2 linked regions of the Nothobranchius furzeri genome follow. The protein of the gene in region 2 interacts with the protein of the main gene of each other region in a biochemical or structural test. Links are inferred from orthologs where the notes say so. Each region holds a gene or a part of one and is shown on either strand. Other genes may lie near its edges.

What was found.
Region 1: the proteins of sirt1 (region 2) and rps19bp1 form a complex in vitro, tested with the Homo sapiens proteins (2 studies listed by BioGRID and IntAct). The link is inferred for Nothobranchius furzeri from reciprocal best matches to the Homo sapiens genes SIRT1 and RPS19BP1.

Annotation. Positions count from the first base shown.
Region 1 is NC_091746.1:76,506,010-76,509,681, reverse strand, and holds rps19bp1 (active regulator of SIRT1), read right to left. Parts: upstream 2,810-3,672; 5' UTR 2,682-2,809; coding exon 2,627-2,681; intron 2,020-2,626; coding exon 1,843-2,019; intron 1,400-1,842; coding exon 1,302-1,399; intron 1,089-1,301; coding exon 939-1,088; 3' UTR 168-938; downstream 1-167. UniProt on the Homo sapiens protein: Part of the small subunit (SSU) processome, first precursor of the small eukaryotic ribosomal subunit.
Region 2 is NC_091752.1:5,646,290-5,649,234, forward strand, and holds the end of sirt1 (NAD-dependent protein deacetylase sirtuin-1), read right to left. Parts: coding exon 2,897-2,945; intron 1,846-2,896; coding exon 1,662-1,845; intron 1,563-1,661; coding exon 1,050-1,562; intron 885-1,049; coding exon 592-884; 3' UTR 583-591; downstream 1-582. UniProt on the Homo sapiens protein: NAD-dependent protein deacetylase that links transcriptional regulation directly to intracellular energetics and participates in the coordination of several separated cellular functions such as cell cycle, response to DNA damage, metabolism, apoptosis and autophagy.

The sequences.
Region 1 (3,672 bases), on a different chromosome or scaffold from region 2:
GAAAAAGAGCATACAATCAAAATATTTAAAGCTCAGTTTACTCCACTGATTCACTGTGATGCTCACCTGCAGGGCCGGATTATCACTGCAGCGGCCCCAGGGCACAATGTGTTCTTTAATTAGGAAACACTCATGAGAAACTGTTTTAAATATTTTAAAGGCAGATGGACTTTTCTCATCCTCCACAACATTTATTTAAAAACAAAATCAAAACATCCGAAAGGTCCTATGAGACAGAATGTTTTATACTAGTGGAGATTAAATGTGATTTTTCAGAAAGGCTGCTGGTTAAACCTGTCATCTTTCAATTCATTACAAAAAGCATCATTCCATACTCTTTACAAAGTACAGACAAAGGTTTATTTCTAGAAAGCATGAGTTGTGTGAAATTCCAGGAAGATACATGGTATTAATTTTACATCCCTTTTAATAACAGCTGGATTAAACAATGTGAAACATCTGTCCATGCTTTACAACAATAGCTTTTCATTGAGCTTGTATGAAAAGAGCAGAAGGATCATGGCGACGCAACAAGTCAATCTGAACTGTATGACGCGGTAAACTGAAGTTAATTTAATCTTTTGAGTCAATCATTCAGTTTATTCAAAAGCACAAACAACAAAGTGGATTTTTCCCTGAAAAGATACATTATTTCCAACGTTCCAACCATAAATCTAAACATTTGACTTCCCCAAAATGTGGCCAGATGAAAACAAGCATAAAATAGTTCAACAGACATTTTCTGCAAAGTTGAGTATAAGAAAAAGGTGACAGTTACTCAGTAGGCCTTATATGAACCCTTAACTATAGTCTGTATGTCTTTTACAAAACAGAACGGTTTTCCTGTGTGGTGAAGTGGGAATGACTTCCAGAGTCATCCATATAATCCACGTGACACTGTCCTCCTGCTCTGGCTGCAGCGGCTCTTATGTTCGCTATCATTTCCTCTTCTCAACAGTTCTGCCAAAGTATTCCTTCTGGAACTCCTCGAACTCCTCCTCCGTGAACACAGACTGGGTCTCTTTGGCCTTTTTGACGGGTTTGTCGGTGCAATTCCTTGACTGCCTTCCTAAATTGTGGCTCAAAATCTAAATTAGACAGAAATCAGGTCAAAAATGTAACAAATCTACAAGTCACACTGGCTCAATTAAATTATTTAAGATACTTAGATCACTGTTTAAGAATGACATCTTAAAACTTAAAAGCACTGCGTCCGATGCTAAAAGACGTGCTTACAATATTAGCGATGATAATTAAGAAAGTCAACATGGATGGTATGTCAAAAGTAAACCCTTCTTTACCTTTAATGTATCAGATTCTGTTGCTTTGCTGCTGGTTGTTGTAAAGTACTTCAGGTTGGCACTCATCTGGCTCTGACCCTGCTTCTTTCGGAACTCCTCTGCAAAAAAAATAAATAAATAAATAAATAAATAAATAATTAAATAAATAAATAATAAAAAAGAGACATTATATGTCATGTTCATTAAGCTTAAGCATCTAAAGATGTGGCCAAGGCTTTGAGTTTCTTGATTTTATGCACTTCTTTTAAATTTAGTTAACACAAATAATTTGACACAAGTACTTAACATCTTCAGAAAACAGTTAAGATGTTACACACAAACACAATAGAGCTAGCAGGGGAGAAAATGACACAGCAAAACAAATAAATAAATTAAAAAACACATAGGACTTCCATACTTCCGTGTAAACATGCATAGCTTCTGAGGCTCCTGCTCTTCTCTGGACTTTAAAATCAAGGTGTCCCTGTGCCATTTGTGTGTTTTGATAGTGATTTAGGAGCAGATATGATCCATATCTACACAATTAAAAGGGTTTCCGTACCGACTGCTGATTTGATCCTCTTGTCTTTGACTGTGGCTTTACTCTTTCCAGACCCGTGGCGACCCTGCAGCCTCTTGACCTGCTTGGTGACCCCCTGCCTCTTGGTGCTCACCAGCTCCATCACTGCAGCTGAGCTGGGGGTCTGCTCCTTCTTTTTCTTCTTCCCTTTACCACCATCTGGGAAAATAAAAATGAAAGGAAGAGAATACCCAAGTTTATAAAAATGTTGCACAAATTCAGGTGATTCTAATGTAAACAGCACTTTTGTGACAATAGTAGAGAAGCAATGATTTGCCTAGTCTTTAAAATAACAAGTCTCTTTGGTGCAAATGTTCACGTTTTACTTCTGATTCTTTACACTGAAAGTTTGGTTTGATTGTCCCTAAACTCTCAATATTTGCCATTAGTCTTTTAATTATTCAGCCTTTTTTAAAATAAGTTCTCTGATCATAAGACATGTTTCACTTCTTAGTAGTTAGCAGAAGAAATTCCTAGTTTGATGCGCAAATTATTTTAAATAAATCCCCAAAGTGCAAAAATACATAATCTCCACAATTATTTTGCGGCACATTTTCTCAGGTGAAGTAGCAGTAATGAAGGAAGTAATGAGCAGTTTATTTATTATTTAAATTATTTTTGAACAAACTCATAAAAAGACTCGGCAAAAAGTGAAGCTTTTTTTCTTTTGCTTTCCTCGTGCTTCGTTTTAACCCTAAAAAGCATAACATCACAGACGTCACCGCCTTTGACCGTCATTAAAACAAGCTAACAGGCTAGAACTGACCTTTAATATCTTCGTTCAGCAGCTCCAATCCTCTCCTTACCAATGACAGCGACATACTCTGTAATATCAACAATTTATCCGGTAAAAATCTATATTTAAAGTCCTCAAAACCTCAAGAGGAGCGTGTAAAAAAGGATAACATCCGGTTCGATGTGTGCACCGACTGAAAGACTTCCCCGGAAAACAATTTACAATACACAAAGTTCCCACTTTACAATAATAATAATAATAATAATAATAATAATAATAATAATAATAATAATAATAATAATAATAATAATAATAATAATAATAACTAAACTAACCGTGTGAAAATGGCATTGTAAATAATTTTTGAGTACTTTTTGAGAAAGCTGAAACAAGAAAGAATGGATTATGTGCCGAGTTGATGATGCAAAAGTCCTGGATTTACAGATTTCTGGGACCAGTGTGACGCGCTATAATGACTGACTGAACGTTTGTGTGCTTTTTATGTTTATAGCTTTCTGATTCACAAAAGAACGCAGAAAGATTCCGATTTGAATTAGCCTACTTGGTGCACCTCAGTATTCCTGTGTGGGTTCTACTTGCACATCAGCATACAATTAATAGTTAAACAGGCTTTTACCATCAATGGGACTGTAAAGATGTTAGAAAAGGGATCTCTTCACCTTGCTTTTATTTTATTTGACTTGGCTACACACTTTATATAAACCACCACATTTATCTTTAGATTTTAATATTTAGGTTAATCTTTATATATTGAAATCTGCATTTAATGAAATGTGAAAAATAACACAATTTAGTGTTTTATTGTACTCTCTTATAATTAGCACCCCATAATGTACAGCTCTTTTACCACTTTTTATTATTTTAATACTTTGCTCTAATATTTGATCACTTATTGAGGTTTTAAAAACATCATCCCTTTTTTCTCCTTCTGACGGACAGATAAGGAGCCAGGTCACATCCCCGGCTCCATCAACATCCCCTTCCACTCCCTCCTGTCTGCTTCGGGTCACTTCCTGCCAAAAGAGAATCTCCAGGATCTCTTCATCCGTGCTAGT
Region 2 (2,945 bases):
ATACCCTTTGACAAGCATGTCTCACACCCAAATATAAAATATGAGGCTTCACCAGGAAAGTAGCTGCCTGATGTCAGGAGGATCACAAAGTACATTTAAAAACTTAAGACGAATAAAAAAAAAAGCTTTTTCCAGAAACAGAAGTATGCAGATGTTGAGCTCTTTGGTCTGAAATAAAACCATCTTTCTGCAGTTTTTCACTCAAGGAGTAGAACTAAATTTGCATGCGCAAAAATAAAATCTGTCTCAGACTCGTTAACCTCTTCAATCTTCAGATTTTAAAATGTAATGATTCCTAAGCGACCAAGTCCAAAACAGCCGACGCCACGCCGGTGTTTCAGGGTGTTTAATGTTGCATTTCTGGTACGCAACAATGGCTGCAACAGCAAAGGGAACTAAAGTAGAAAAGTAACTAGTGGGTTTAAGCACAGTGAGTGTGAAAACAGAGCAAACCTGAAAGACAAAAGTCTTGCTGCAAACACACACTTCAACTTTATGATAAACAGGAAGTAGATGACTCAAAAATATATATGAAACCTATTTATATGTACACTCTAAAAAAGAATTAGTGCTTTGTAAAATGGAGTCTTATTACGCTTGATTCGTGGCACTGTGAGCTTTTTCAGAAGAACTGTCGATCTGCACACTTGACTCTTCCTCATTGGCTGAATTTCGAAACATGTCTTTGATGCGTGTTTCTCCGTCCGCCGCCGCCGCTTCACTGACGTCCTCTGGGTCGCTGTCATCCTCCACCCCACCAGGACTGCATTCTGACTCATCACTGTCGCTACCGCAGGAGCTCGACGTCTCCTCTTCGGAGTCCGAGTAGACTTCGGCGCCGTGGAAGAGGTAGCGGTTAGGTGACTGAAACAAGTACTGGCCCGCTGTGGAAAACAACAGAGCATCTATGAAACACGGCTCGTTTGTCTTTGACACGTCTGCTGAAATAGTTGTGGTGTGATCACGTGAAGGAATACATGCAGAGGAAAGACGGAACACATTTGAACAAATGACATGTAACTGGTATAAATTAGCTTAGCTTAGCTTACGGTTGAGGCGTTTGCTTATTGGACTCCTGCTGATTCTGCTCACCCAGTACCGTTTACGATAATCAAAGCTGGAGTTTTGGCTTTTAAAATCACCCATCTCCACTTTTGGTAACTCCGGAGACTTCGCACCGTCCTCACTTGGACACTGCACATTCGAACAAGGCTCCAAAGGTGTAATGTTCTTATCGGCAGTTTCTGTAACAGTCAGACTTTCTGCCTCCTCTGAAGGCTTGTTTACAGAGTCCGTACGCGACGGCTCGTTCTGCTGCTGAGCCGCATCACTGAAAGCAGGCAAGGCCTCACTTGGTCGTGGTTCTTGTAACCGAGGGGGCTTCTCTGTGATCTCGTTGAGTCTTAAAGTGTTAAAGCAGAGCTGCTCAAAGTCTCCACTCAACCGGTGACAGAGCTCATTGATGATACCGTCACAGTCTCCGAGTAGCTCCACGTCAAAGTTCAGATGAGGCAGCGGCTCCCTGTTGATCAGAACCTGAGGCACTTCGTGAGGAATGGAATCTGAGAGAAATGGAAAGCCATGGTGTTATTGGTGGAGTTTACCTCAAACACAACAGAGGAGTGGCAAGTATCTAGAAGCACGTTCACTTGAAATCATACTCGGTATGAGGGCCACTGGTCGGACTTTGAGCGAAGAGCCAATTACAATCAAGAGGTCCACCTCATCTTTGTCCTGCTTCATGGCTCTGTGGAACATTTCTGGTAGGTTCTCTCCAAAAAAGACGATGTCAGGTTTCATGATTGCCAGAGGAATATCCGGACACCTCAGACAACGAGGAACAACCTGCAGGACGACGTTGCATTAGAGAGGAACATGTCGCAGAAGCACGCTCTGTCATTTATTTAAACCGATACACTTCCTGAAGTAGATTCTAGTATGAACCCTGAATTAGTCCCAACACCAAACACCCTTTTTACATCAGTCTTTCGCACGGACTCGTTAGGCGGATGTTGTGAAAGTTAATTTATCCAAAGTTTCTTTGAACATCACATAAAACCAGTCTGAAGATTTCAAAATATTCTAACAACAAAGCTTGGAAAAGCCAAACCCGACAATGGAAACAACGCTAACCCCGGGTTTCCACGGGAGCCGTCAGCAGCACGTTACTGCAGCAGCACGTCTCGCTCGCGCAAGCTGCTGCTTGGCCCTTCCCACGAGACGCGAAGCAGCAGGGGAGCAGCTGTCACCGACAGAGCACGAAGTCACACGAGTGACTTCGTCAGTAAACACACCAACAAGCAGGAGAAAACTATAACATGGTTTATGTTCTGTCCTTTTATAATCGCCAATACGGACCTGAAAAACAAAGGAGACCGCTAGCTAGGTGATAACTTCTCACGGGGACGCACAGTTAGTAACATTTTTTAAAAGTAAAGCAACTGGAAGGCAGTACGTTCTTTATTCTGAGAATCTCGGGAGCTTCTCTCCATTTCCGCGTCCCATTTCCTGTCTTTCCTTCCCCAAAAATGTCGAACTTGACCCGTTTCAGAGGCGTCGCGCGTAGAAAATAGAACCGGCGCGTAAGGGCCGCGACATGCTGCTCCTGAGACGCGGCCGACTCGCGCTGCTGACGGCTCCGGTGGAAAAGGTTCTGTTGACCACAGCGGTTCCTATCAGCAGCTATGACGTGCTGCTGACGGCTCCCGTGGAAAGCCGGGGTTAGGAGAGTATACTGTGAAATTAGTTACATGTATACGTTATGACTTGACATTTATCAACCAACGTCCTCACCAACCCGAACCCCTCCAAAGACATTTTAGTTTCTCATTATGGTTACAGGTGTAAAAAAACAGCAGCAGCGATCAACGTTCTGTTGGTCCAGTTTAAAATGTACCTGATTAAAGACATCTTCCCTTATAGCTTCACAATCCACTTTTTGTTTA